Linked DNA regions of Rattus norvegicus. The protein of the gene in region 4 binds, or shares a complex with, the protein of the main gene of each other region. Links are inferred from orthologs where the notes say so. Each region holds a gene or a part of one and is shown on either strand. Other genes may lie near its edges.

Evidence for each region.
Region 1: Cacna1c (region 4) and Cacnb2 share a complex: the UniProt entries of both Homo sapiens proteins name them as parts of the calcium channel complex. The link is inferred for Rattus norvegicus from reciprocal best matches to the Homo sapiens genes CACNA1C and CACNB2.
Region 2: the proteins of Cacna1c (region 4) and Cacna2d1 are in contact, whole or in part, in a cryo-EM structure (PDB 8WEA), measured with the Homo sapiens proteins. The link is inferred for Rattus norvegicus from reciprocal best matches to the Homo sapiens genes CACNA1C and CACNA2D1. Residues at the interface, in NP_955630.3 of Homo sapiens: Phe147, Pro148, Glu149, Asp150, Asp151, Ser152, Asn153, Ala154, Asn678, Lys1090, Gly1091, Asn1092, Tyr1093, Ile1094, Tyr1096, Gly1099, Val1101, Pro1104, Ile1106, Arg1109, Tyr1156; in NP_001353796.1 of Homo sapiens: Thr170, Asp171, Tyr173, Ile233, Leu235, Gly262, Ser263, Ser265, Lys270, Thr274, Ala327, Lys328, Gly329, Ile330, Glu366, Gln391, His392, Tyr394, Ile416, Gly417.
Region 3: Cacna1c (region 4) and Cacnb3 share a complex: the UniProt entries of both Homo sapiens proteins name them as parts of the calcium channel complex. The link is inferred for Rattus norvegicus from reciprocal best matches to the Homo sapiens genes CACNA1C and CACNB3.
Region 5: Cacna1c (region 4) and Cacnb1 share a complex: the UniProt entries of both Homo sapiens proteins name them as parts of the calcium channel complex. The link is inferred for Rattus norvegicus from reciprocal best matches to the Homo sapiens genes CACNA1C and CACNB1.

The regions. Positions count from the first base shown.
Region 1 is NC_086035.1:82,812,209-82,815,646, forward strand, and holds part of Cacnb2 (voltage-dependent L-type calcium channel subunit beta-2), read left to right. Parts: intron 1-754; coding exon 755-850; intron 851-2,496; coding exon 2,497-2,685; intron 2,686-3,238; coding exon 3,239-3,438. UniProt on the Homo sapiens protein: Beta subunit of voltage-dependent calcium channels which contributes to the function of the calcium channel by increasing peak calcium current. Plays a role in shifting voltage dependencies of activation and inactivation of the channel.
Region 2 is NC_086022.1:20,327,348-20,331,423, reverse strand, and holds the start of Cacna2d1 (voltage-dependent calcium channel subunit alpha-2/delta-1 isoform 1 precursor), read left to right. Parts: upstream 1-1,276; 5' UTR 1,277-1,561; coding exon 1,562-1,656; intron 1,657-4,076. UniProt on the Homo sapiens protein: The alpha-2/delta subunit of voltage-dependent calcium channels regulates calcium current density and activation/inactivation kinetics of the calcium channel. Plays an important role in excitation-contraction coupling.
Region 3 is NC_086025.1:131,673,050-131,676,562, reverse strand, and holds the end of Cacnb3 (voltage-dependent L-type calcium channel subunit beta-3), read right to left. Parts: intron 3,440-3,513; coding exon 3,330-3,439; intron 3,210-3,329; coding exon of another isoform or gene 3,136-3,209; exon of another isoform or gene 3,096-3,135; coding exon 2,944-3,095; intron 2,713-2,943; coding exon 2,617-2,712; intron 2,517-2,616; coding exon 2,367-2,516; intron 1,770-2,366; coding exon 1,455-1,769; 3' UTR 478-1,454; downstream 1-477. UniProt on the Homo sapiens protein: Regulatory subunit of the voltage-gated calcium channel that gives rise to L-type calcium currents. Increases CACNA1B peak calcium current and shifts the voltage dependencies of channel activation and inactivation.
Region 4 is NC_086022.1:153,439,738-153,443,250, reverse strand, and holds part of Cacna1c (voltage-dependent L-type calcium channel subunit alpha-1C), read left to right. Parts: exon of another isoform or gene 1-613; coding exon 614-720; exon of another isoform or gene 721-1,390; coding exon 1,391-1,494; exon of another isoform or gene 1,495-2,494; intron 2,495-3,041; coding exon 3,042-3,377; intron 3,378-3,513. UniProt on the Homo sapiens protein: Pore-forming, alpha-1C subunit of the voltage-gated calcium channel that gives rise to L-type calcium currents. Mediates influx of calcium ions into the cytoplasm, and thereby triggers calcium release from the sarcoplasm.
Region 5 is NC_086028.1:83,512,346-83,516,609, reverse strand, and holds the start of Cacnb1 (voltage-dependent L-type calcium channel subunit beta-1), read left to right. Parts: upstream 1-1,463; 5' UTR 1,464-1,655; coding exon 1,656-1,739; exon of another isoform or gene 1,740-2,101; intron 2,102-4,264. UniProt on the Homo sapiens protein: Regulatory subunit of L-type calcium channels. Regulates the activity of L-type calcium channels that contain CACNA1A as pore-forming subunit.

The DNA.
Region 1 (3,438 bases), on a different chromosome or scaffold from region 4:
CAGACCTTTCCTTAAGCAGCCAGTCAGACTTCGAAAGAAGCATCTGCTGCCAGCAAAGCAGTGCTAAGCAGTGAAGTGCGTAAACATGTGGTTCATAGAGAAGTCACGAGTGATCTTACAAGTCGTGTGAGGAGAGGTCCAGCAGCTTCAACAGAGCAGGAATACGTTAAGCTGTTCCATGTAGCCCGCCCGAGTCCTCACGGCCACAGTTTGTGTAGCAATCCGTTTGCTGGACTTCAGTTTAGTACTGAAGAATGTCACTTGCTCTCTGATGAGGAAGCTGGCAAACCCTTTATTTAGCTGTGTATCTCTGCAATGGCCTCCTTACAAATATCAAAAAAATGCACATTATAGCATATTGGATATAGAAGCTAATATTTCAGATGTCTTAAAAAGTGATTTTTACTTTAAAATGAATTAACAGTGCTAAGATTTTTAGAAATATTTCCTGAAATCAATGGCCATTTGGGGTTCATGATATATATACATATTTATATATATGTATCTATATAAAGAGTTGATAAGGCAGGAATTTTTGAGAACTGTTAGGCGAGAAAGGACAGCCATCAGCTTTATACTAGTGCTTAAGTCTGCAAGAGATTTATGGAAACGTTAATTTTGGGGTTAATCTCTATGTTGTACTTTCTCAATGATACATGCTAATCATCCAGGGCCAAGTAGAAAGTAGTCCATAATGCACTGTGTAGCTCACCCAAGTACAGATGTTCCTGTTATAAACCCATACCTTTTACAGGTTTTACAAAGGTTAATAAAATCTCGAGGAAAGTCTCAAGCAAAGCACCTCAATGTCCAGATGGTGGCAGCCGATAAACTGGCCCAGTGTCCCCCGGTAAGTAATCTACACGGTCCCAACAGTCTAGGGGTTAGACCTCCAGTGTAGAAAGGGTGCTTACATCTGGAGGGAGAGGCTCCTCCTCACTTACAATGGCATTCACTCTAAGGAAGTATGCCAGCGCCTGTGTGATAGTGCGCCTTGAATACGTGCAGACCAGGTAATGGTCGCCCTTCCGAAAACACCACAAACACCCCATGCAGCCCTCACTTTCTGTTAAAGGATGGTGGTTTGTAAGATGGGACTTCTTCGGAGTCTGGGTCTCACCCACTTCTAGAAACATGCAACAGGTTGTCCGAGAAAGTGAGTTTCACGTACAAGAACGGCAGTGGGAGCGCGCCTTCTGCAGCACACACTGAGGTCGGAGGATAGCATGGGTCTGGCCCTGAGCTTCCGTCTTGAGACAGGCGTCTTGGTGCTGGCTTGAGTATACAACAGGCTAGCTGGCTTGCTAATTTCCAGGACTCTCTTGTCTGTACCCTGTATTCTTGTACAAGTGCTGGGATTACTAAAACTCGACGCTATGCATCTAGCTTTGGCATGGGTTCTAGAGGTTCAAGTGCACAGCAAGCACTTCTCCCAGTGAGTTATCTCACTAGCCCCAAAGCCATATTCTTTCAAACTGTAAGAACGATCTTTTATTGAGGGAGGGGTCATTAATCCTTCTTTGCCGCAGCCTTCCTCACAGCTGCCAGCACGTTACTCAGCTCCTCCTGCTTTCTCTTGGCACAGATGTGCACACCCACCCTGCTCTTGATGAACTTGAGTGGTGCTTGTCCTTGGACACTTTGAGCAACTCTGTGACACCCTGCTTGCTCGTAGGGCTCAAAGCTGACACCTCCCGGACCATATCCCGCACGAACTTGGTGTGCTTGGTGAGGCGCCCATGGCGCTGGCTGTGTCTCAGGTTGCTGACATTTTTGGTCACTTTGTGGCCCTTGTTGAGGCCTACAGTCATGAGTTAGCACAGGGTCATGGCTGCTGCTCCCAGATGGTGGCCAGGACAGGAAGCCCAAACCAAATTTTTAAACAGTAAGTTTGGAACACATTCCTACTTTTACATATTATACTTTGGGACTATAGTTCCGATCTAGTATTCATTCAAGTACAGCAATTTCAGAAGATACTTTAAATCAGCCAAATTCATAATTGTATATTACATTTCTTGATCAACAATTTTAAATCCTCAAAAGTAAAGGACCTCATCTCTCACTGATCTCTCCCTACACAAAAATGTTAAGTTTGGACTATTTCTGCCAATATGCATGACCTAATCTTGCCTCATTTGCTTCCAGAGCTTTCTACAACCTGTCTCAAGACCAAGCACCCTTCTAAACTGATTAGATTGTTCATGTTTTCTAGCACAATATCAACTTTTTACGACTGACAGTAACTCCCCTGCATTGCCCTCACCGACCATGCTGACAGCCGTCCGTTCTTGAGCAGTTAACCACTCAGTGTTAATTAAGGATTTGAGGAAACACACACACACACACACACAGGCTAAAAGAGCCAATGGAAAAGGAAATATCAGGGCAATAACAAATACAATGGGCAAGGCCTCTCTTCTGTTTACGGGTTTGAGGAAAAGACAGACTTGGTCCTGCATTGCATTAATGTGCTATCTGAAATGCTTACCTCAGCAGGAGTCATTTGATGTGATCTTGGATGAGAACCAACTTGAGGATGCTTGTGAGCATCTCGCCGACTATCTGGAGGCGTACTGGAAGGCCACCCACCCTCCCAGCAGTAACCTCCCCAACCCTCTCCTTAGCCGGACTTTAGCCACCTCAACTTTACCTCTGAGCCCCACCCTTGCCTCTAATTCACAGGTAAGAGCACTTCCTTTTATGGTCTTCATAGAGAATGTAGGCTGTCTCAGCTGATCCCCTGAGACTCAAGTCCAGTGAAGGGACATCATGCTTGATCTGCTACTGTTTGCTCACCAAGAAGCCCAAGTGCCAGCTGACCAAGTTCTATCAGTCCAGTATGAATTGTGTGCCTAAACAAAGAGCTGTGAACATACCTCAGCCATCCCTCTGCGAAGGCTCTGGGATAGTATATGTCCTCTGTATATCCTCCAACTTAATGAATTTTAATCTGTTCAAGCAGATTAGTTAAGACTATGGTTATAAGATACCCGTATCAGTATCAGAATCACAAAAGACTAAAAGTCACCCTTCTTGCCCCTTCACTGAAATGAAATGTTATGGGAACACTAGTCCAGCTTAAGTCATGCCACTGAGTATGTCAAAGGAGTGAAGGGCTGGGCTTCATTTCGGGTTTTGGTACTTCAGACAGACAGACAGACACACTTACACGATGCTGCTCCCAAGACATGTTAGTTCCTCAGCTGATGCCCTCATGTGTGTCCCTTTGCCACAGGGTTCTCAAGGTGATCAGAGGACTGATCGCTCTGCTCCCCGGTCTGCTTCCCAAGCTGAAGAAGAACCTTGTCTGGAACCAGTCAAAAAATCCCAACACCGTTCTTCCTCAGCCACACACCAAAACCACCGCAGTGGGACAGGTCGAGGCCTCTCTAGGCAAGAAACGTTTGACTCTGAAACCCAAGAGAGCCGAGACTC
Region 2 (4,076 bases), about 130 Mb from region 4:
TATGAACCCTTGGGCCCGAGGGAGGGGTGATTAACCACCTTACAGCCACAAAACCATGACAGCTTCTTCGCCTTAGTGTGAGGGTCTTTTTTTCTCATCACGAACTGTATTCTCTGATTTCGCGTCAAAGTGTTTTCATATCCTTCTGCAAGCAGCTTAAGAATTCGGGCTGTTCCATGAAGTCTTTCTCACAGCGGCCCACTAAGTCTTTCCTCCAAGGTGGCCTGAGCCAGGCAGGAAAAGATTGTTTTGTTTTGTTTTGCTCTTTCCAGAAGACCCTCCCTCGCCCTGCTTCTCCCCAGGGTGGAGGTAAAACCAGCCCTTCCTCCATATTTCAGATGTAGTTTGCAGAGGGCCACCTGTTTCTGAGGTTAGCCTCGGTTCTGTGTTCACGCTGACAGAGTGAATTCATCAGGCTACAACCTTGTTCACAAAGCAGTCCAGTGGTCAGGACAGGGAATTTTTCAACCAGTTGGAAGGTGGCTTGCTAAAATGTTACCAAAGCCCGGTTGCAACACTAACCACCCTGCAAGGAGTACTGGTCCCTCTAGTCTTCATTCCTTTGGAACAGTAGGAAAGACATCTTACAGCATCTGCCAGCTGTTCTTCATCCATTCCCAGCCCGCCTCTGAGGCTCTGTCCCCGCCAGGTAAACCAAGTCTACTTGTACGTTGGCGTAGGGCCGCTGGCACCATTAGAGCCCTACCAAAGGCCCTAACCCCTGGCACACCGTGAAAACCAGGGCCACCTGGTTGAGTTCACAGCGGCGCTTTCAAAAGCACCACAAACCCCTCCTACATGTGTTGTCAAATCACTTCATGATTCTTAGGCAGGCAGCGGATTCTACGCCTGGGAGAAGGGTTTGGGGGCCCCAGCCAGATTGTGCAAAAAATAACCCGGAGGAGGCGAGCAAAGTGCTCGGCTGGAGCCTGCGCGAACGGTGGATGCTCGCAGGCTGCCGGTGGTCCCTCGGGGAGCACCTTCGGGCTGGGTCCGCTCGGCCTCCGCACGCCCCGCGGCGGGAGCAGGCGACGGCGACTTTGGGAGTTCCTCTCTGCCTTGTATGGAGGGCTGCGCCCGGGCCGTCCCCGCCCGGCTCTGACGCCCGGCCCTCCCGCTGCCCACCCACAGCCGCCTCCCCGAGATCCGCCCGGGGAAGGCAGCCCGATCCCCGCTCCGGCCACCCCCATCCCCGCAGCCGCCGCGTCCCCGCGCCGCCCCCTCCGCCCCCGCCCCGCCCCCGCCCTCTCCTCGGCGACCGCAGATAAATCAGGGAGGCGAGCGCGGGGAGCCAGAGCGCGCGGGCGCCGGCAGGCTGGCCGAGCTCCGTTTCCACAGTCGCCCTTGATGGCGGCGCAGGCGAGGCAGCCGTGGCACGGAGCGGCAGCCACGCGCTAGAGAGTCCGCCCGGCCCCGCCCGGCCGGCCCGCCCGTGCCCTGCCCTGCCCGCCTCTCTCCACGCGCCCTCCGGCAGACGTCGGCGCCCCGGCTCAGTCCCTCGCCGCGTGCAGCTCCGCCGCCTCCGGGCCGGCAGGGAGGGCACTGATCTTCGATCGCGAAGATGGCTGCTGGCTGCCTGCTGGCCTTGACTCTGACACTTTTCCAATCTTGGCTGATCGGCCCCTCGAGCGAGGAGCCCTTCCCTTCGCCCGTCACGTAAGTCGGCGGGCCCGGGGTGGGGCTGGAGGCGGGGGTCCCCGCTCGATGCCGGGCGGGCTGCCCGTGGGGGCGGGGAGCGCGGCTGGGAGCCTCGGAGGCTGGGCCGCCCGGTGATGCGCTGCTGGCCGCCGGAGTGAGCTCGGAACCGGCGTGCCGAGCCTCGGCGGGCCGCACCGTCCCAGGGAACGTCAGCCAGCCGTCGGCGGCGTCTCAACCTGGTCTCCGAGGATGCTCCAAGCTGAAGACTGTAGCCGGACTTGGGGGAAAAACTTTGTAGGCATACCCAGCTCCCACCAAACCCAGCCAGATGAAAAGTTGAGTTTCCGTTAGGTATTTCAGAGTTAATTTCAGGCAGACCCGGTAGCTTGCGCTTCTTCTGTACTTGGCCTCTAGGATGCTAATTTCTCTGCTGTCCAAACTCATTTAGATCCCAAATTACTAGGAGCGCCTGACAGCTTCCCTGGTATTTAGCCAGTTCGCTCCCGGCAGCTGAGCGAGCTGTCCACCCCAGCGCTCACAGGTACAAGAGCCACCCAAGCCAACCTACCCAACCCTTTATTTGAAACATCTGAGAGCCGACAGACACGCGGTTCCAGTTCTTAGAATGAATAGAACCTCTATTCTTTGAGGGTGGGACTGTTTCCCCAGTCTCCTGCAATTTTCCCTTATTTTTAACATTTCTAAAATAACTTTCAAAAAGAGAGAGAAAGAAACCGTTGCTATTCTAGAAATAGAGTGTTGAAAGGTAGCTATAGTCACACGGCAGGAAGGGAATGCAATGCTACCATTCTCCGCTCTGCTCTCTCGGGGTGCAAGAAGGAATCAGAGTCAGTGGCACATATACATATTTTTAAATGCGCTGAATAGCTTATCTGGCATTCTGGGAAAGCATTTATTTTGGTTCTTGAAGGTACTCTAAAGCTGCTCAGAGTAGGTAGTCTTAAGTGGGTGAGTCACTTTAATGCATTTTACATAACAAAAACAAAGCCCAAGGTAGCCTTCCTGGCTTTTATGCCGCGGGGAATCACTTGCTGTCCTTTGTTGGCAGCGAGCTGAACCCTGGAGTTTTGGGGGTACACTAGAAGTACATCTATGCTAGCTGGAACCCGACAGCGATTACTTAAGATTTGGCCTAGAACATCCATCACGTTAGGTGTCAGCGCAAGCATCTAGTGCATATTCCAGCCAGGAGAAAGGGGGTGTCTAATATTTATGGCATGGATTTACGGTAATGTTCTCTTTAGATAATCTTCCATAAAAACGATCGCATATCCTTTTTGTCGTGAAGCAAAAGGGTAAAAGCCATCTGTAGAGCTTCGTTTAATTGGCAGAAGGTTCCAACTGTTTAATTTTAAACACGAGAAGTCTAAGAATTCCCTTAAGATGCTACAAAAAATCATCCAGTCTTATTAAGAAACCGCACTTTCACTTATTTATATTTTAGTGCTTTTGACTCGGCCTATTACATAAGAACTCGGTTGCCTCTCTTGCATTTTGTGTCAAATAAGTTGTGGCATTTAATAAGCCACATTCTTGACTTATTCGGAATGCACATTTTTAGTGCTGTTTTAAATTGATTTGCCAATATTGCTACTAATTGGGAAGGATGCCTCCTTCCATTAAGGAAAACAAAACACAAACAAACAAAAAAATCCAGACAAACAGTATTATTCAGCATGTCATAGTAAAATCCGAATGTAAAAATCCTTCTTATAAGAACATATGCAATAAATGTTTTCCCAAAATTAAGTAACTCAATTTTCCTGGTCAGATATGTGTTAAAGACATGAAGGAGATCAGGAAGGCATTTAAGATGGGAATTAGGAAGCCACGATTCCTTTTCTTTGAAAGGATGTGTGTTGTTTCAAACAATGGGAGTATGAAAATATTTCCATATTATATGCAGTGTTGCTTTATGGACTAAGAATGGGCTTTGTAGTCAGTGTCTTTATCATAGTATTAAAAACGTTCTGGAAACCTTCCTGCTTCTGCAATTACTTATTTGTAAAGTTAGTAATTCTATCTTTGGAGGAAGGGTAGTTGACATTTGTACTTGATGTTAGGTTTCAGAATAAAATCTGTGGGAAAAAAGTGGCATCAATCTCTTCGAAAAAACAGTGCCATTTGCTTTGCTTGCATGAAAAAAAATTAAGTGCAGTATTTATAAGATAAAAGCTCAGATCATCTGGGAAAAAAAATCAAGTTCATAAGAACGGAATCCAAAGATTGTAGCAATTATTAAAGGTCAATTATTTTGCTTCTATTTATAAATTTCTCAGAATATCATTAGGAACTTATTTGTTTTGTTGGCAGTTTTTTTTCCAGCAAAAATAAAATAAAATAAAATGAGAAGTTTCCATCTTCAGAAGAGGAAGACCATGCCACTAATATACTGTAACATTAATTAGTTGCTAATT
Region 3 (3,513 bases), on a different chromosome or scaffold from region 4:
CCTAGCTTCTCACATAGTTGTTTATCTGCACGGGAGGGATGGAGGGAGCAGGATGGCAGTGTCTCTCCTGCTTTTGTGTGGAACCACACTTGAGCCAACATGTACTCCCTGCTTCCCTTGCTCGCTGGGTGGGTTCAGCTGGGTCTGGAGGACTGGAGATGGGTTTTCCATCTCGGGCGCAGGCCCTCCCCGTCCCTCAGAGGGAGGCAAGTATATGAATTCAAGTTGTAGCTGCTCTGTGCAGCCCTCTGGCCTGAGGCGAGCAGCGGGAAGCTCTGTCACTTCCTCATTTCTCAGAGTGCCTTGTGTACCGCCAACTGCCTCCTCCAGTCATCAGGCCTGGGGTGCCCCCGTGTGCCTACACATACAGGGCCTCTTGCTGCAGTTGCTGGTCTCCCCCAATTCACGAATCCTCAGAGAATGAGCCAGGGAACCTCACCTCTGCAGATTTACAGAGCCACTTGAGAGAACAGAGGAGAGACACCCAAGGGACTGTGCGTTATGTTTTATTGGAGATGACAATGAGGTGGGGCGGGTTCTTAATGGAGCATGCTCTGTAGGTCAAACGCTAGAGCCATAAGGCAAGGGTAGCCAGGTGACAGCCTCTGGGGCTGTTCATTGTGTCTGTTCCTCTCATCTAACCCTAACTTAACAAGTGGCAGCTACGAGCCAGGGAGCCCCTATCTTGCAGGAGGCATGGAGGGAAGGAACAGAAATGACAGACGCAAGGGCAAAGAATGAGGAAAGCAAGGGGGGTGGGGGGGCTGGAAGCTGCTCCCCCTTCCCCGCAGTCCAGGCCGGCTTTGGGCTTGACTGTGCCCCAGTTCCCTAGTCTTGCCAGATGCTAAGCTTCCTGGTTTGGTGAGGAGGGCCGTTCTCTAACAGAGCTACAGCCATGAGCTGTCTGTCCTGCCTCACCTGCACTGCTCCTGTCTTAGGTGTAAGTGCCCACCCCAGCTGATGGGATAGAAGTGCCGCCATGTTGAGCTCTGATTGCTTCATTTCTAATGTGCGGCAGTGACGTGAACGGAGTTCCTTTGCTTAGGGTTTACGCCTGCTCAGGAACCATGTCTCTTCCTCATGCTACATTGCCTGCACTCACACCCTCCTGCTGTTTAGAGGGGTATCCATTCTGGCTGGAAGACCCCTGCTAAGTGATCCCGGCCTGAGATCATTGCTCACCGGGGCAGCTTCTTATGCAGGGGAAGGTGCCAAGGATGCAGAACACAGCTAGTACCTGGATGAGAACCTACGGGGTCACTGTGCCCAGGAGGTGAGGGGGCCCCTTGCTTCTCCCAGAACCTTGGGACCACAGTCAGCCCTGGACCTAGGGCTGGGCAGAGGGTTGTGTGAGCTGAACCTAGAGGCAGCCTAACGCCAATCTAACTCCAACCTGCCTGAGGTGGACACCCCAGCCGCTGTGTCTGTGCCTGCCAGGGTAGGGCAGGAGGTGGTCAGTAGCTGTCCTTAGGCCAAGGCCGGTTACGCTGCCAGTTCCGGTCATTGTGGTCATGCTCCGAGTCCTGGGCTAGGAGCCGGTCTTGGGGGTCATGCCCGTTAGCACTGGGTAGCCCCGAGGTGTGTTGACGGTGAGGCTGGTACAGGTCCTGGTAGGCATCTGCATAGTCCTCCTCCAGATGGCGGGAGCTGCGCTGTGAAGATCCGGTCCAGGCCTGGCGGGAGCTCTCACTGGCCTCATCCGAGGGCATCAAACTGTCCCGCTCCAGGGGTGAATGCTCCTCACCTCGCTCCCCCAGCAGCTGCTGGTTCTGGGGGACATACAATAGCTCTAAGTAAGGTAAGGGAGGTCTAGCCTTTGTTCCTCCCAGGACTCTGGCAGGGAGGTGGGGTTCTTCCTCCCTTAGTCTTGATTCTTAGGTTTTTAAAAGAGTGAACAGTGCAAGGAAGGAGTAAGCTGGGGCATTTTCCAGGCCAGAGGCAGAAAGCTGGACTGTTAGCTCCTTACAAATTCAGGCTCTTCCTTAAAAAGTGCCTGGGAGAAAGGTGTGGGGTGTTTCCTTGGACCCTAGGAGGACCAGCTCTAATCTCAGTCACCATGCTGTCCAGACAGGAAGTCCCTTGGCCTGTGTCCCTTGGCTTCACATACAGACTGAGAATAATCCTCGGTCAAGCCAGGAGCTTTGCCCAGTAGAAATGGTTACCTGGGGCTGGAGAGATGGCTCAGTGGTTAAGAGCACTGACTGCTCTTCCAGAGGTCCTTAGTTCAAATCCCAGCAACCACATGGTGGCTCACAACCATCTGTAATGAGATCTGATGCCCTCTTCTTGTGTGTCTAAAGACACCTACAGTGTACTTATATATATAATAATAAATCTTTAAAAAAAAAAAAAAAAGAAATGGCTACCTGAAGTCCAGGGATGGCACTGGGCGGACCCAGCATCCCGGGGCCCGGTGCTGGGTGGTGGGTAGCGCGCCAGTAAACCTCTAGGTATTCAGCTAGGTGCTCACAGGCGTCGTCCAGCTGGTTCTCATCCAGAATCACATCAAATGACTCCTGGAGAGAGAGCACACAGCGAGTTTGGCTTCTCTGCAGCAATGATGCTGAGCTCTAACCTCTGGCATAGGCCGTGGGTGCAGCCGACCCAAGCACTCACAGGTGGGCACTGAACCAGCTTATCATATGCCATCATCTGTACAGTGAGGTGCTTCATCTGGGACTTCCCCCTGGAGCGGATCAGTCGCTGCAGTACCTGGAGGAGAAGGGCAGGGATGGGCGTGGCGTTTCTCGTGGGCTCTGGTGAGATCTGAGCCTGGAAGGAACTAGGCTCAATTCCCACCTTGTGCTATGAATGACATTTATACTGGGTGAGGAGGACTCGGGGTGTTAAGGAATGGCAGGAAAAGGAACCGGTCACTCCAGGGAAGACCCAGGCAGAGGTGCACTGTATTCTAGGGGACCCCAGTGACCCCAGTTCACTTACCTTTGGCGAGGACACTTTGACGAAGACGATGATGGGGGCCAGTGAGGTCTTGGCTAGCTGTGCTGGGTGGTTGATGGTGTCAGCATCCAACACCACTAGCTGCAGGGATTTGGCCAGCTCGAATATGCGCTCAATCTCACTCTGCACCTCAGCTGAGGAAGGGGAGCAGCTCACCAGGGGCTCTGGCCACTGCTAACTGCCAGGGCTTCCAGAGCTGCTACACGGCGGCGAATGGAACGGACCAGCAAGCCTGGGCGGGCAGTGGACTGGGCAAGGGAGGAGGGCAGCACTTGGGACAGGTGGTGGGGCGTGGGCAAGACCACAAGGAGTTCAAGGTTTTCACTAGCATCAAGCGGGCAGAGAGCCAGGGACAAAGGACTCCTCACCAATGCTGGAGCGGGCAGAAGAGCGCTCGATGATGGTCCTCTTGCCAGGATTGTTGAGCACAGAGCGCTTGGCCAGTGAGAGGTCAGCCGTGACGCGGGTGATGGAGATCCTGGGTGTGAGGAACACACACACACACACACACACACACGCCATCTAAGTCACGGACTCCCCACACCAGCTCTC
Region 4 (3,513 bases):
CTATCTGATGGCTGGATGACTGCATGGCCACTTCAGGCAGTGGCTTGTGTGAAGAGAAAGCCACTCAGGGGAGAATTGGAGGGATAGGGGATGTAGTAACACTGAGAATGTCTATAGTGAACAGTATAGACCTATGTGAAGGCAGGTGTGGAAGGTCCTTCTAAGAGAATGTTGTATGGGCCTAGAATCCTTTCTCCAACTTTCCCTAAACCCAAGAAAGCCTCCACTGGCTGAGATCAGAAGCTCAAGGAAGGCTAGAGTCTAGGATAGGAGTTCAGCGGTCGGGTGTTTATCAAGCATGTATGAGGCTTTGAATTCCAATCCTCAGCCCAGTGGGAAAAACAAACAAAAAATCAACTACAAGGGCTCATGCACTGGGTATGTATCAAGAGCTGGGACACCCAGCAAGCAGGCCTAAGAGATGACTAGGATGCCTGAGACCAGACACAGGTTCTTAGCATAGCCTGACACCGACTGCCCACACCAGTATGTAGGGACACGAATCGGCACTGACTTCACAGAGGAAAGTAGAAAGTGCTTTCTAGGGACAGCAGCTGTCCTGACACTTCTGGGCGGGCCTTCAGGAACAAGTGTTGATGCTTCTCCATTCCAGACTCTCCTACCAGGACGATGAAAACCGACAACTGACCTGTCTAGAGGAGGACAAGAGGGAGATCCAGCCATCTCCGAAGAGGAGTTTCCTTCGCTCTGCCTCTCTAGGTAAACCCACACCTTGCTCTGCCAACGTAGACAATAGTCACCTCTAAGATGGCAATGGTCAGACAGCAAGTGACAACGGAGAACTTATTTGGGCCTCACTCAGACAACCTCTAGAGATGGCCTGCTAGACATGCGAAGTGACAGAATAGCTCTCCAAAGACAGAGTCTGTCGGAAGGGGACATAGACAGTGGCTACTCAGATGCCTCTGACAATATAAAGAGCTTGGGGCTGACAGCACTGACCCCTGTACGTCAGCAGTGAGCCTCTCTTAGTCAGCTTTCTGTCACTGTAATAAAACACTTAAGATGGCCAGCTTAAAAAAACACGAGAAAGACTAACGAACTCACAGATTTGGAAGCTTGGTGTATTACTTTGGGACCTGTGACAAGGAGGCACATTATGACAGGAAATGTGTCCTTTGCCTCCATAAATAAAGGCAGGAAAGAGATCAGTGTCCCGAGTTCACTTTCAAAGACACATCCCCACGGTAGAAAGCCTCCCAAGAGGCTCCACCTTTTAAACATTCAGCCAGCCTTTCAACTCTACAAACTGGGGATTGAGCCTTTAATGCATGGCCCCTGGTAGACATTGTGGTCTAAATTACGCAGAGCTGTCACGGGTCGGTGCCATCACCTGTGTCCTGATTCCAGTTCTCTGCTACTTTTGCAGGTCGAAGGGCCTCCTTCCATCTGGAATGTCTAAAGCGACAAAAGGATCAAGGGGGAGACATCTCTCAGAAGACAGCCTTGCCCTTGCATCTGGTTCATCACCAGGTATTAACGTCTGTGAACAGGTCACAGCCGCACAACCTAGGATGACAGTAGCTCCCCAGATACTTTTCTGTCTTCCCCTCTCAGACCTCTGTGCACCAGCCCCTGAATAGGGCCGACTACTTCTCTACACATAGGCAGGTCCCTATGAAACCACAGTGAGGATTCCTCTCGTGAGTCTAACTGGAAGCCTCAGGGCTCGTGAGCTTTCTCCTTACAGCGCACAGATACCCCCCCCCCGACTCCCACACTGCCTGATGCTGCGTGTACCAACTGGATACAATATACATGGGGATTGATGGGACCTAGACCTTGAATGTCAGAGCAGTCTATCTGTCCACTGCAATGCAGATATGACGACAGCACCTGTCAGTAACATGGCCAACAGAAGGAAATGCTGGGCGTGGTGGCCATGCCTGTAATCACAGCATCCAAGAGGCTAAGGATAGAGAGTTTTAGACTAGGCTAGACTGGCAAAAAAAAAAGTAGGATTTGTGTGTACATGGGTATGCATGTGTGTGTGCATGTACACACATATGTGTTTTCTAAACTGATATCACTTCAGCTCAAAGCCAAAGCACTGTCTAAATAGGGATCATAGTCATAAACTTTCCAACCTAATGCACACAGGGTTATGCTTCCTTTAGATTTCCAGGTACCCAGAAGCTGGGGGCCCTCATGAGCTGGGAAGGAGGAAGAAAGGCAGGGTCGCTGTGTGCTTTTTAAAATGGTTTTCCCAGGTTGGTTTGCCCACCTGTCTTCATGCCCATAGGGAGTAAACTAGCTTCCCCTGTGTGTCTTTCTGCCACCTCCAACCCATCCTCTCTGTCTCCCAGAGATGGACATTCCCACCATGTGGTAGCATTCTTTTCAACAAACATATCCCATCTGGACAGTGCCGAGAGAGTCACAGTGACAGTGGCAATTCAGACCTACCCTCAGGAGTCTCAGGAGCATTCGGGGGCAGAAGGCAGGCATGGAAATCCTTTAATCATGACGCAGTCTAACGAGAATAAAGAGTTCAAAACACACTCTATTGAGAATGACAAGAGTGTTTTCAACTGCCTTGTCTCACTGTAAAAGTTAAAATAATGGCGACTGGTATTCCTAGCTCTCCATGATGAATACCGTCCCTCTAATGCCTTATTTCACTTGACATCACACGGACCTACAGGTCAGTTTGTAGAGAGGGCACTGGCGAACTGCAGCTCTGTGTACCCACACATCATCATTGTCCTTTCTGTTCAAGTGGGAAAAGCCAGAGTGACCGAATCAAGATGCTACTACGGCTGATAGAGCCAGTCTAAACGTGGGATGGTCCCCACTGTACTCAGTTGTAAGGTCCTGAAGCTAAAGGGAACTGCTATTATGTCCGAAGAAAATGCTCGTTAAAAATATATCTGGATATTAAATGTTACACCAGTGAGGTAGACGGAATCTTGACTTCCAGAATTCTAAGTCGAATTCACTGGAAAAATATTGGCTCCCAAGTTCCTCAGAAGGCAGAGGGGCGAAGCCTCCTAGTAAACTCCTGTTTCTTATGTCCACAGGCATTGGCAGTGGCAGGCTTGAGCCCCCTCCTGCAGAGAAGCCATTCTCCTTCCACGTTCCCCAGGCCACGCCCCACGCCCCCTGTCACTCCAGGCAGCCGGGGCAGGCCCCTACAGCCCATCCCTACCCTGCGGCTGGAGGGGGCGGAGTCCAGTGAGAAACTCAACAGCAGCTTCCCGTCCATCCACTGCAGCTCCTGGTCAGAGGAGACCACAGCCTGTAGTGGGGGCAGCAGCATGGCCCGGAGAGCCCGGCCCGTCTCCCTCACCGTGCCCAGCCAGGCTGGAGCTCCAGGCAGACAGTTCCACGGCAGCGCCAGCAGCCTGGTGGAAGCGGTATGTGAATTCAAGCTCTTTCGGGGAGAAACGGGGCCCAGAAAGCAAGAGAATTTGGTGCAGAGAAGAAAGCCTGGCTCCTTTCCAAGTAGATTGGCTGTCAGTGTATAAACTAGAGAAGTGCTGAGGGAGGGCA
Region 5 (4,264 bases), on a different chromosome or scaffold from region 4:
GATGATGTGATTAGAGAATCAACCATCACCTCTCAGAGTCCACAGTGAGGAGTCTAAACAGCCCACGGGCTCCAGGCAAGCAGAACACAGAAAATAGTCTTTATTTTAGGGCACTGGACCTTGGCAAGGCTTCATCTTACTTATCTCTCTGCTCTCTGAACAGCGAGCTGGGTGGAGGAGGAGGAACTGGCGTGCCCTCTTGCCACAGATGGCCCCCACATTGCTCATTAAGCACACCCAGAACCCCAGCCATCTTTTTTGTTGTGGGGCATGTTTGTTTGTTCATTCATGTTTTGTCTCTCTTCAAACTTAAGATGAGATCTAGGCTGACCTCTAGCCCCCAGCAGTGCTGTTCACCATCACACCGCTTCCCGGCTTCTTATTAATTTCAACCCGCAAAGACACCATAGTGTTAGCAACATAGTAGTAAAGGAAACAAAGAATGACTGGTTTATTCCAGACAGGGCTTCTCTCTGTAGCCCAGGCTGTCCTGAGGGTCACTTATGTAAAGAAGGCTGGCCTGGAATTCACAGAGATCATCCTGACCCTGTCTCCACAGTGTTGGGATTAAATGCGTGCCCTACCACTGCTTGGCTTGAGGACGACCCTTTTAGGATCCAATAACCAGCTGAGCCTGAGCCAAATTGGCCCGGAGTTGCTAGGATCCTACTTCTAGCCACAGTTCTGGGACATTCGTTCCTTGGACAAGGATAAAGGAGAGACAGGCCTAGGTCAATAGTCATGGAATATAGTTTTGAATAGCCCCTCCTCCATCTTCATTCTTCCTCCTCTTTCCTTTCTTTAAGAAGCAACAGGGGCTTACTCCTGCCCTTTTGGAAAAGCCTAGGGGACCTTAGTTATTGATGAGGCCGAAGTAATTCCTGGGTCCCTGGACAGCATTTCTACTATCCCTGTTGGCCTTCTCCTTTGGACACTCACCCCATCATCCATCCTCAGCCTCCAGGCAGCAGTCCTAGAGTCAGTTGGAGAGGGAGGTCTACTCAGCTAGTTTCATGGCGGCCTGGGCCTCACACTGGGGAGAAAGGGGTTAAAGCCAGGTCCCAGGATCACAGGGATCTGGAAGTTCCGGTGGCCCAAGCTGGAGTCGCTCAGGGAGACCAGCTGAGAGAGTAGTTTGGGACAGAAAGGAAAGCGTACCAGTCGAACCAACCTGCTCTTCACCCCCATCAACGCTTGGCATACACTGGTAAACGCCCCCCACCTCCATCCCAGCCTCAAGGCCAGTTTCCCCTTGGTCTCCTGCTGGCAGACCTCATCCCAGACTAATCAGAGGACAGCGGTCGAGCCCCTCCGCCTTCGGGAGGCCAGCCGGGCTCCGCCGCCCCGCCATTGTCTGCGCGCAGCGGGCTGAGGGGCTCGAGGGGCGGGGCCGCGGCGCGGGGCGGGAGCGAGGGAGGGGCGGGGGGAGATGCTGAGCCTTCAGGGGCGGAGGCGGCGGCGGCGGCGGCGGCGGCGGCGGCCGCAGAGAGCAGAGCGCGAGCCGGGAGGGCAGCAAGGCGGCGAGCGTGCAGCTGGGCGACTGCACCCGGTGCTGGCTGCGCGACGCCGCGCTGCTCTCGGCTCGGACGGCCTCTCCCATGCGCTGAGGGCCCCCGGCTGTGCCGGGAGGGCGGCCGGACCGGAGGATCCTCTCCATGGTCCAGAAGAGCGGCATGTCCCGGGGCCCTTACCCACCTTCCCAAGAGATCCCTATGGAGGTCTTCGACCCCAGCCCACAGGTGAGACGAGGTGCCAGGCTCGAGGGAAAGGACCGCTCCTGGGGTCGGCTCGGAAAATCCCGGGAAGGAAAGGGTTATATGCCCCGCGTAGATGGGAGAGGGACGTCTGCGCGACCCCCCATTCCCGAGGGTTAATGATCGATGGACTGTTGGCCCGAGTCGGGCTGCGGTGCTGCGGAGCGAGCGGAGGCGGGTGGAATGCCTGTCAACCTCGCCTCCAGGTCTCCCCCGCGTCCAGGTCCCTGCTGCTGGGGTACCGGCTCCAGCAGGCTGACAGCGGGGATGCTGATGGGGGTTGGGGGGAATCCAGGCCTTGAGAAGCGGAGTTGGAGGGAGCCTGGAGAGCGAATCAGGCGAGGGGGGCGACGCAGAGCACGTTTAGGGGCGCTAGTGGGTGTGGGTGGGGCGGGGGTAGTACTGGGAAAAGGCAGAGACGATGGTCAGAGGGCGTTGCCAACAGGCCTTCGAAGGCTCAGGCGTTGGCTTTCTAAGGTGGGAAAGGGATCAGCTCTGGGTGGCCTTCCCCTAGTCACCTGGTCTCCATCTCTCCCTTGGATGTTTCCCTACTCCCAACACCCACATTAACTTACCCCTCCCCTTACCCCAAGGGGTGGGAGCCTCCAAAGTTTGGAAAGTTGGATGGGTGCCAACTCACTGTGTTGGAGTGGAGGACGCTGTTTTACCTGGGGGAGGGGCGCTGCCTTCTGGCACACTCACTTTCCTATGTGCTTCGGTTACCCCTAGGTAGGGGCATTCTTGGGCATACAAGGTCCCCATAGAATGACCAGCAGGGTATGTGGTAGCCATGCCAGGGGATTTCTCTAGGACTTGTCCTTCTCCAAGGATAGCATTAACCCTTGCATTGCTGTGGCCAGCCTGGAGCAACTGTAAGCAACATGATGTGGTTGATGGGTGTGTATGGGGGGTCAGGTCAGACCTAAAAATACTTTGTTTCTCCACCCCAGGCCCCTTGGAGCCTGGGAGGCAGCTGACTGATGCCTTCCTTTCAGCTGTCCCCTGTCCCTCTGAAGGCCACTCCCTTTGCCCAGTTGGGGTGGGGTAGTGGTGTGAAAGAGTCTGAGGTTGTTCACTGAAGAATCCTCTTAGGTCTGTGGAGAGCATCAACACTAGTTTAGCTGTATGTCTAGTTTCAAAGAAGGAAAGAGGACCATAGAATGTTCAGTCCGTGTGTGTGTGTGTGTGTGTGTGTGTGTGTGTGTGTGTGTGTGTGTGATAGGATCTTATATAGTTCGGGCTGGCCTTGAACTTCTGATCCTCCTGCCTCTACCTCCAAAGAGTAGAAAATTACAGGTGTGAGTCACTATGTCACTAATCGGCTTCCTTGTTACCAGGTCTTAGGAGTCAGAGCCTACAGTGTGGTTGAGGTGCCCCTAGGTTCTTTGGTCTAAAAAAGTCTGGGATAGAGGCTGGGGGCAGGAGCTTTTGGGCATTCTGCCCATTCTGTACTGGGCAAGGGCCAAGAACATGAGCTTGTGTGTGTGTGTGTGTGTGTGTGTGTGTGTGTGTGTATGTGTGTGTGTGTGTGTGTGTGTGTGTGTGTGTGTGTGTGTGTGTGAAGGAGAGAGACAGAGACAGAGAGAGATGCTCAATAACTTTGGCGTGTGAGAGGTCAGACAGGATCCCCCCACCCCAGCTAGAGCCCACTAAGAGAGAGTAACCATCTTACCTGGTACTGGCAGAACTATATGTCCTAGTCTCAATTTGAGGTGGGGCCTAAGGGCCTTTGAGATTGATGGAGCAGGGTTAGTACCATGGGGATGGGGCATGGGCAGTAGCAGCTGGCGTGGGAGTAGAGTGGATCCTGCCTTTGGGAGGAATATAAAAACTGATTGCCAGGATGGAGGTTGAGAGAAAGTTCTGCTAGGGTGGAGGTGAGAGTGGGAAGCTGAACAATCTCCCCAGGCACCAGGCCACAGGTTGGATGTTTACTTCTCAGAGACTCCCTCTTTTCCTTCCTCAGAAACATGACTTTGGGTCTTCAAGAGCAGAATGCCTTTCCCTCCCCACTCTGGGCTCGGGAGAAACCAAGCCTGGCCCTGGGTTGCCTTTTCTCCTCTCTCTGGGGGCATAGCACACTCTGCCCCCTCAGCTCCAGATGCAGGGGAGAGGACGTCCCCCTCTCTTCCTCTGCCCCCCAGCGCTGCAGGCAGCCTCTCCCTTCCCCCCGAGGCTGCCGCAGCCCTGCCCAGCATCTTAATTAGCTTTGCTGCCTAACGAGCCTTCTATTCCTCGGGCTTTCTGCTTCCCAGCCTTCCACTTGATTCGGGGATTCCTGGGTGTGCATCTCAGGCTCTCTTGCACGGTTCCTCATGGTGGCTGTTGTCTGGGCACTGTCCGTGAGGTGGAAGACCCTCTTTTCTTTCAGACTGGTTACCTCTAGGAGGAGAAGCTGAAGTGGGGGTGGGGCAGAGCGGAGAGTCCCCAGCTAGGCTGACCGTATACAGCCCCAGCCCCGGCAGGAGGTGGACTGGGAAGGCAGGCGTCTTTCTGATTCCACTCTTGTT